Saccharomyces cerevisiae S288C: one gene and its partners. Changing the gene in region 2 together with the main gene of any one other region gives a genetic interaction. Each region holds a gene or a part of one and is shown on either strand. Other genes may lie near its edges. The genes, in order: KHA1, SEC53 and INA17.

The links.
Region 1: mutations in SEC53 (region 2) and KHA1 together harm fitness more than expected from each alone (negative genetic interaction), as found in Saccharomyces cerevisiae (2 studies listed by BioGRID).
Region 3: mutations in SEC53 (region 2) and INA17 together harm fitness more than expected from each alone (negative genetic interaction), as found in Saccharomyces cerevisiae (one large-scale study listed by BioGRID).

Annotation. Positions count from the first base shown.
Region 1 is NC_001142.9:252,417-256,179, forward strand, and holds the start of KHA1 (Kha1p), read right to left. Parts: upstream 2,027-3,763; coding exon 1-2,026. Other genes in the region: TOK1 (Tok1p), read right to left, coding at 2,321-3,763. UniProt on the Saccharomyces cerevisiae protein: Potassium-proton antiport.
Region 2 is NC_001138.5:43,072-46,156, forward strand, and holds SEC53 (phosphomannomutase SEC53), read right to left. Parts: upstream 1,322-3,085; coding exon 557-1,321; downstream 1-556. Other genes in the region: FMP32 (Fmp32p), read left to right, coding at 1-367; ubiquitin-specific protease OTU1, read right to left, coding at 1,584-2,489; LAM5 (Lam5p), read right to left, coding at 2,649-3,085. UniProt on the Saccharomyces cerevisiae protein: Involved in the synthesis of the GDP-mannose and dolichol-phosphate-mannose required for a number of critical mannosyl transfer reactions such as folding and glycosylation of secretory proteins in the ER lumen.
Region 3 is NC_001148.4:363,020-366,076, forward strand, and holds INA17 (Ina17p), read right to left. Parts: upstream 1,050-3,057; coding exon 501-1,049; downstream 1-500. Other genes in the region: ATG21 (Atg21p), read left to right, coding at 1-343; MGR2 (Mgr2p), read right to left, coding at 1,367-1,708; tyrosine--tRNA ligase MSY1, read left to right, coding at 1,933-3,057. UniProt on the Saccharomyces cerevisiae protein: Component of the INA complex (INAC) that promotes the biogenesis of mitochondrial F(1)F(0)-ATP synthase. INAC facilitates the assembly of the peripheral stalk and promotes the assembly of the catalytic F(1)-domain with the membrane-embedded F(0)-domain.

The DNA of each region.
Region 1 (3,763 bases), on a different chromosome or scaffold from region 2:
GATCAAAGTTTGCGTATTTTTCATCAATGAAGACTGGGCTCCCTCTATACTCATACGAGGCCCCTTTTAATGGCAATAAGATCAGATCTGTGGAATCCATTTTCATCGTCGCTATATTAGCTGCCTTTTCACGCATTGTAGAAAATATGACTTCACTTGAAAATGGTATTTTGCTCAGGTTTGAAAATATATCAAAAATTTGTAATAGTGAATCTGTATTTGCGGTAAAGTGGGGATCATCATTATATAGAGAAGATGATTGCAGCAGATCAGTTGTCCGTTCAGTGAGCAATCGTAAATGAATGGCCCTCAATGCACCGACTCCCTCAAACGGGGTCAATTTTTCATCTATAACACTTAAATTGGTATCCACATCGTCAACGCTTTTAGACCAGATATGAACCATCTTTTTTATTTTGAATGTGTTAGATTTCAATGTGGAATCAGTAGCTGTTGTCATTCTGCTCAAGGAGGTTTCGTTCTTATGTTTATTATTCTTAGGCTTGGGAGATACCCCTAAAGACAGGTAATTTAGCAGCTTTAGAGATGGAGAGATCGCTTCTGTAGTGTTTATCACCGTGGTCAGTTCACCAATTCTATATTTGCTAACATCTGCCAATGAATTAAGTTGAGTGTTAATTTCAGTCTTGTCCACACCCTCAGAATCGAGACCATCTGCTGCACCATCATCTTCTGCAGGTGTAGATAAGGATTTGCGAACACCATCCCGGTATGAATCTGGGTAAACAAGCTGAGTCAGAGGAGTAGTGACAAAAGTAGAAACTAATGCCATCAACACAAACATACCAAATATTTTTCTACTGATAATGCCCGCATTCAAACCAACAGTTAAGACAACGATTTCAACGATACCTTTGCATGACATCAAAACACCGGCTGCAGTGGCTTCTCTCCAAAATAAGCCAGTAAGTTTAGCTGTAAGAGTACCTGAAATAATTTTGGTGAAAATGGCGATGCCGATTGTGGCGAAAACATAGCCCCAATCTCTTCCCTCATTTAATAGAGTCAAATCGACATTTAATCCTGCAACAGCAAAGTAGATTGGAATGAAAACAATGTTAGGAATATCTTCCATCCTTTCTGTTAATTTAACAACGTAGTGATCATCTCTAGGAACTACTAAGCCAGCAATGAAGGCGCCAAAAATAGGATGAACTCCAATAATATCCGTAAAATAAGCAGAAATGAACATGATGAATAGAATGCACATCGTTGCCAACGGTGAAGGCTTGCTTCTGTCCAATTCATGGGTCCTTATGAGCACCCATCTTAATAGGTATTTTAAGGGAAAGAAATAAATCAAAAACCATGCAAACGTGATAAGCAGAATATAAACGGTATTGACAGGGCTCCCTTCTGCACTAGAAAGAATAATACTTAATGCTAACAAAATCCATCCCATTATATCGTTAATGATACCCGCCGCAAGGACAACGATACCTGCTCTATCCTTGATCAAGCGCAATTCATTTAAAATACGACATAAAACTGGAAAAGCCGTAACGGAGATGGAAACAGCTATAAATACCATGAAGACAGAGAATTTAATATGCCTTTCGCCTTCTGTTTTGTTTGCATAAGTGTGAAATAAAGGAATCGCCAGCAGACAACCAAAACCGAATGGCACTGCTAAAGTGACTATACCTATCACGAGTGCTTTCTTTAGGTGTTTCTTGATGAAAGCAATATCCACTTCTAAACCTAAAAAAAACATAAACAGTATTATTCCCAAATTCGCCACTAAATTTAGCCCCGGGATCGATGATGTAGGGAAAATTGTGTTTGTATAGTTTGGAATTTGACCAAATATAGTAGGCCCCAAAATAACACCAGATATAACTTCTGAAATGACTTTAGGCTGCCTCATCATTGAAAAGGGAATGTGAATTAAATTGCATACCAGTAGTATGAGACATGCTTGAAAGAGAAATAATGTAAGCGGCGAACTGGAGTTGTAGTGGAACGGATTTACACCCGACAGAATTCCTCCTACAGTGTTTGCCATTTGATAGAATATAAATAATACAACTTCGTAATAATAATAATCGTTGGTATCATTTGATGTGTGCTTTAGCAACAAGAGATGATATAATAAGCGAACAGTTTTTGTTTTTTATTTTCCCTTACTGGAGCTCAGCCACATTAATGCGAGACGCAACGGGTGCATAATATTGAAAGCGCATTTACAGCAGAAAAATGCTTTCAGTATTTATTTTGAGATGCTGAATATAAATATTTAGAGAATACATCCGTAGTAGTCTACAGTAAGATATAAATCAATGCTTCGGGTGTTTGTATATCAAAGTGTCTTTCTATGCTCACCCAAAAATTTTCTTTTGCTTATAACTTTATAAAGCTCTTCGTCTTCTACTAGATTACCAACTAATTCTTCTATGTTCTTGAAAAGCATCATAAAAGCAAAATGAGGTTCATTTAACGGGAACTTGAGGGGCGTATCAGGTGATATCCAAAATTCGGGTCCGCGTGTGTACTCCTCAATATCTGTAATGTTCCTCAAATGTAGTTTATGAATGTACGACCAGTCGGAAAAACTAAGTGTGTAATCTTTATCCGCCAGACATATCCGATGTAGTTTTTTGACGGCTTTAAGTAGCTCTTGCAAGTTCCTTAAATTACAGGTCCCCGAGTCCTGTAGTGCATATTCAGCAGAAGAAACATATTCTAGAGGAAGTATTCCCTCTGGGCTAGATGCTTTTGATAATGAAGAAAATGATTCTTGCAGGCTTGCAGGAGGGGATGTCACTCCAGAATCATTCTCTTCTGAATTATTATCGTTGAATTCAGAAATTTGACTGGATTGTGAGCTCGTTGTATTTTCTTCCAGATCACCATCAGCTGTGTCAGATTCTTCGAAAATTTCTCCAGTGTTCACCATAAAGGAAAGTGCTCTTTGACGCCCATTAAAAACGATGGACTTGACTTTATTATTGAATGATTCACCGATCTTAATATCCAGAGAAGTGGAAATGTCAAACAACAGATCACCGACTGTAGATAGGATAGCCCCCATTAATGGCACGGCTCCCAACGCCCAAATCACAAAAAAAGCACGGCCTGCACCAGTCCTTGGAGCATAGTCTCCGTATCCAATGGTTAATAAGCACAAGAAACAAAAGTAAATACAATTGAAGTACGACCAATTTTCTGCGAATTTGAATACAAGAGCTCCCAATAACCAAAAAGCCATGAAAATTGCAATAGTCACCGACAAAGAAAACCAATGCTGCTTCCTTGAGGCCGTTTGTCGGATACACTTCATTAAGTCGAACGCTTCCCTTTCAGATAAATTTTTACTACTATCCATATAATGTTTCCACGATTTGGACCTGCCTTTTTCAACTCTGTGGAAAAAGAAAATTGGGCCAGAGGACTTTTGAATGATGGATCTTGTCATAAACACTATTAAACCCATCAAGACAACACCAGATAGCGAAAAGATTAAAACCATGATTTTGGCGCCAACCGACTTGGGCAGGATGTCACCTAGTCCCACGGTTAATAATGATACCGTGCAGAAATATAATGCATTTCCGTAAGTGATGTGCAATAAACCGCTAAACATACCCGCACCCCAAATCAACCATAAAGACAATAGTACAGTGTATGCCATGATACTTCTTTCATTGGGCAAAAGGTTGAACGTTGGAGGATATTTTCCTAATTTATATCCAATAAAATGTATTGTTAAAATAATGGTGCATACCAAATATAGACCAGAACT
Region 2 (3,085 bases):
ACGTGTTGATTTTGCAAAGTTAAGAGATCAGCTATTGAGTGCTGATAGAAGTGAATTTCACAATATTCAAAACGAGTACGAAAGTGTGAAAAACGATCTGGAGAAACTAAGAAACAAACTAAGGGAAGAAATTACCAAAACAAACGCCGGTTTCAAACTTGATCTGTCCTTAGAAAAAGGCAGAATTAGGGAAGAAAGTAGTCATCACGATCTGCAAATAAAAGAAATCGACACCAAAATTGAGCAAGAAGTGACCAATATGAAGATGCAGATTGATTCTGTCAAGACTCAAGTCATGCAATGGCTGATAGGTGTCTGTACAGGTACATTTGCACTTGTATTAGCATATATGAGGTTATTAACATAGTGGCGACAAGCGAGGAAAAAGGGCTAGACTTGGTACTTGAAAATTGCATTTACGTTTTGTATAACACAGTTCAGTAAGAGTACACATTCAATAACGTAGTAAGAGTATATTTATTTATATAAGAAGGATAAAAAAGAATCACCAAACGGATCACAAATGGCATAATCACGTAGCAACCTGGAAATAAAGCTATAAGTTGAATAGTTCAGTCAAAATTTTGACGGTGTCATCAGGGGATTGTACTGAATGTCCGATGGTTCTTTCATCGACAAAAATTTCGTAATCGTTACCACCGACCATAGTCTTGTCACCAAAGAAATGAATTTCCTTGAAACCATCTTTTTCAACGTGTTGCAAACAGTAGGTCTTATCCCAACCAGCGGGGAAAACGTCGAAAGAGATTTGGCCACCAATGGAGAAAGTCAAACCGTAGTCTGGGAATTCCTTTTTCAAAGCTTCAACGAACTTGGCTCTGATTTGGTGTTCCTTATCGTATCTTTCGAATTCGTTTCTTTCCTCAGTAGAAGCATTTCTACCAATTGGGGAAACGTTGATCATACCATTTCTAAATTCCAAGAAAGTACCTCTTCTCTTTGGCAAGTCAATTTCAGATAGATATCTCAAAATGAAGACGGCCAATTTATTGTATTTTTCCTCACCGAGCCAGTTGATGAAGGATTGAGAAGCTAATTCCTTACCTAATCTGTAGGCGGTCAAACCATTTTCAGAGAAAGAATAGTCAAATTCATCTAAAACGTTTGGGCCTAACTGTTCTAATTGCTTGCTTAAGTCAGAACCACCGACAAAACCAATGCAGCACTTGTTTCTCAACTTGGCCAAAGTTTTTCTAACTTCTTCAGAAACAGTTAATCTGGCTGGTGTCAAGGTACCATCAACATCGAATAAAACCAAAGTTTCTGGTTTTTCCTTGTAAGCGAATTCAGCGATACTCATTATTGGTGGTTATATTAGCAGATAGGTAAAAAAGGAGAAAGAAGTACTAAGGAAATTGTCGATTTAGTTTTCGTCAAAGATCTTATACTTTGCCAAGAAGAATAGACGATATAAACAGAAAAATAAGTGAAAAGAACACGTAAAAAACGGCACATTTTAATATATTTCAAATTTTTTTTTCATCAACGACAAAAGGAATGCATTTTATCCACTTTTCGTGTCTCATGACGAGTATACCGATAAACGCCAAATGCGTATTTTATTATCTATTTTGGCCAAAATCAACGTGTCCCGTGGATTCAGCGTGCCTAGCAACTTCTCTTTCACCCACAAAGGTCATTTGGCAAGTGTTGCATTTGATCTGGGCCTTATGAGTGTTGAAGGAATAGCCAGTTTGCTTCAAATTTGAGGCCAGTTGCAAAGCTGCTGTTAGAACATCATCTGATTCCGGCTGGTTCTTGTTGAAAACAGTTTTAAACTCGTTCATGGTCAAGGAATCATAGTGGATTCCGTTGAACAGTATCAAAATGTAGTTGTCGAACTTGTCCTCGTTGAACTTTTCGATTTTAACAGCGTCAATGTCGACTACATAAATAGCTACTGCGAGTGCATCGGATATGATACCAATCTCGATGGCTCCACCCCAAGATTCCATTTTCAAAATCCATTGCGCGTAATCTTTGTTAGGTTTGTCCAATATGGCGTCATTGAACTTGACGGGGTTGTTGAGGACCTCCTTAGAGACCATCTCCCTGAGGTCACGAACGCTATCTTGTTTGAAGATGCCATAGGCAATAGCATGGAACAGACACGAGTTGTCGTCGAGAACAGGATGTACTGATAGGACGTTTTCTCCACTGCCACCAATTGACATCTCAGTGCTCTTCAGCACCCTCTTTGGTTTGGGTTGTGGTGGTGGCAAACTGAAGCTTTCGTTACTATCAGAGGACTCTATTGTAATCTTTTCACCAGAGTTAATACCCAGCTCGTCCAGCTGGGTTTGTCCCAAAGAAGCGTCTTCCCCTTGCAAATTGATCCTTTGAGGCGGATATCCAAACCTCATCGTCTTAACATCTACATTGATATGCTCAATAAGATCATTTAGTGTTGCATCTTGCTTCAAAGTAACGACTTGGTTGATTCCTGCTCCAGTAACTTTCAGTTTCATCTTGAAAGTTTCTTCTCTTGGTTATCTTCTTCAATGTTATCTTGTTTTCAAAGGAAAAAGTTGTTATTTGCCACTGAAATCGGCTTATTTCGCCCTTTACTATTAGTTACTACCATTGCCCTATAGAAACGATATATATTGGTACGAAGAAAATACAGATCACAACTTCAGTTCTACCAATTGCAGCTTCACCAGTTGATGTAATGAGACAGCAATTGAACGTATGTAGAACAGATTAAACAATAGCAAAACGACCACAATCAAGTATAAGAACAACCATGTTTCCATGGTGACCTTGAGACCTTGCTGCTCTGCAATTGCGGGAGCCGTAACAACCGCTTCTCTTGGTTGTTCAAGGTCAACCTCTTTCAACTTATTTTTTACTTCTTTATCATCTTGCTCCTCTTCCTCCTTGCTGATAGTAATTTGGCACTCTTCGACATTGTTCTTGATGAACTTGGAAAGAATACGCTCCATTAATTGCGCAGCCTCCAATTGACCATTCTTGCATCCATTTTCAACCATACCTTTGATCCAACTGGAACCAGTCCATTCCACCCAAAAGGATACCCGTAACAGACACGTTATTTCGTCAT
Region 3 (3,057 bases), on a different chromosome or scaffold from region 2:
CCTCCCTGGAGATAATTCTAGCAATGGCCACTGGAATGAAGAGGAATATATACTAGCATCAAATTCAAATCCCAGTATGGGAACTCCAAAGGAAATACCTCTCTCGAAACCAAGAATTGCGAATTACTTCTCGAAAAAAATAAAATCTTCAATACCAAACCAGAACCTGAGCCGTAACTTTGCTTATATAACAGTTAATGAATCGAACAGGAGTTGCTTAGGGTTTCCAGACGAATTTCCCAACCAAGTCTATATTGCCTCTGATGATGGAACCTTCAGTATATATAGTATTCCGTCAAAACCTGGTGAATGTGTGCTGACTAAAAATAATAAATTTACATAATGCATATGTGCAGTTTTCATAATCTTAATAGATATTGTACGTATTCACGTGTGAATTGCTAAAGAGGGTAGAAATCTTCAAAACAAGCAATTTGAAAATATTTACATAGGCAATGGTACATTCTAGAAACACGAAAAGCCAACAAGATAACTAATTCTCACCAAAACCATCTCCTATACCAAGGCTTCATATGTGTTGATTCATTACTGCCCTTTCCCCTACTAGTATTGTGGGTTTTATCCTGTACAATTAACTCATTTAATTGGTGTTCCAGGATTTCTACCTCTTTCTTTAGCTGACTTTCTCTCTCCTCATGCTCTAGTTTCCACCAAGAGAAGTGAAGCAGTAAATAAACGGAAGATCCCATTAGAATGAACATCCAAAGAGGCCTAATAAATCTTTTTACAGGGATCTCATGTCCTGATTCTTCCTCTTGCGAGAATTTTTTGAGCATATCTAACTCCTTTTTGATATTTAATTTTGTAGTATGCTCATTAATCAAATCGCGTATCAGTTCAGTATCAACACCATCCAAAGAATCCAAATTAGCCAAGTCTTCTAGGCTCTTGATTTCTTTCTTCGGTGACGTTGAAACAGCTCTTCGTTGTTGGTTGAGGAGGCGCCTGTGGTAATAGGCAACGGTTGTTATGGGAAACAATTTAGTTCTACTCAAAGTAATGAGAGCATTAGAGCGTCTTTTTAACATATTGTCTATTATATGCTTTGGTTCCCATTTCCTTTCTCAAAGTTTACAAATATAACAGAGTGCTTAGCGAATACTTTATTTTATGAGTCTTGCCGTTAGTGACCCCACCCAAAATAAGATGCAAACCGGTATACATATTAGACATTTCCCACGTATACAAATATATTAAGTAAATAAGCCTCGTCGTGATGAACTTAAATACATGGTATTGAGAGAGTTATAAACAGGTAGATAGATATCTTAAATAAAAATAAGCAGATAAGTAACAATGTTTAAGAAAACGATGGGGAAGCGTAAATATATGCAAAATTTCCCCCTCAGTCCTTACGTATACCGTATTTGGCACGAAGCTTCCACATTTCCAGTCTTGCCTGTTGCTGTAGGTTCAGGTTAGGATGGGACATTGGACTACTTTCACTATCACTTCTGATTATAGACCCGATGGACATAAATAGCCCAAAGGTACCCGCTGAACCAGCAATGTATTTCCCTAGTGTTCTAACTACACCATCAGGACCTGGGCCTTGAGTTGCGATGGCAAATCCACCAAATAGGATGCCTGTGCAGACACCGACGGTAGTACCCATCATCAACCCCATTTTGAATTTGTCCCAATTCGAAGGCTGCTGTTGCGCATAATTTTGTGGAAGAGGAGGCATTATATCTTAATATTGGACTTGAAGCTGTTGCGCTATTTGTGCTATATGATCTTGTGTGGTGTTCTGTGCTTCCTTCTTATGGAAAAGTAGTGGAGTCTGTTTGGTAATGTTGGTCTTGTTCGGGAGTTTTGAAAAGAAAATAAAAAGTGGTTGGCTCATAATGTTAAGAAAGAATTTCCAGTTTCCGATTGAACACAGCAATCTACAGGTAGACATTGTGAATCATGCTCGAATTACGAAGTTGTAGTAATTTGGTCAATAGTAGTAGGAGACTTGTGCCTCTGGTGACTTATTCCGGACTAAGTGCAATAACATTGCCTAAATCTCGATTTTATTCACAGCCTAGTGCTTTAGAAGTACAGGGCACATCGGATTCTCGAAGCGATAATATTTTAGACGAACTCAAACAAAGGGGTCTAGTGTCCCAGGTCTCACAGCCAGAGAGTTTCCTTCGGACGAAGTTGAACGGTAACGATAAGATCAAATTATACTGCGGGGTGGATCCCACAGCTCAGTCACTTCATTTGGGAAATCTAGTTCCACTAATGGTTTTATTACACTTTTACGTAAAAGGTCACGACATTGTCACTGTGATAGGTGGAGCTACAGGGAAAGTTGGGGACCCAAGTGGTAGGAAAACAGAAAGAGACGTTATGGAGAACGATATTAGGCAAAGCAATGTGGCATCCATCTCGCAGCAATTACAAAGGTTTTTCAAAAATGGCCTAGAATATTACAGAAACCGATGTGCTCTCACTGAAGATGTACCTTCCGGAAAATATACACCAAGGAATAATTTCAACTGGTGGAAAGACATCAAAATGTTGGATTTCTTAGCTGATTTTGGTAGGCACATTCGGGTACAATCTATGTTGGCGAGGGATTCAATTTCTTCGAGGCTTCAAACCAAAAATGGTCTGGGATTTAACGAATTTACTTACCAAGTTTTACAAGCGTACGATTTTTACCATTTGTATAAGGAAGAGAATGTGACTATACAAGTAGGTGGTAACGACCAATGGGGAAATATAACAGCCGGTATCGATCTCATCAATAGGATACAGCCTATAAAGAATAAGGGTTTGCCATTTGGTATCACTGTGCCCTTGTTGACGACGGCTACAGGAGAGAAATTTGGGAAAAGTGCAGGCAATGCTGTTTTTATTGACCCCTCAATCAATACGGCGTATGATGTTTACCAGTTCTTTTATAATACTTTGGATGCTGATGTACCCAAGTTCTTGAAGATCTTTACGTTTTTAAACTCAAGTGAAATCAAAAAAATTGTGGAAACGCATATCAAATCACCCAGTCTACGTTATGGCCAAACTTTATTGGCTAAAGAAGTC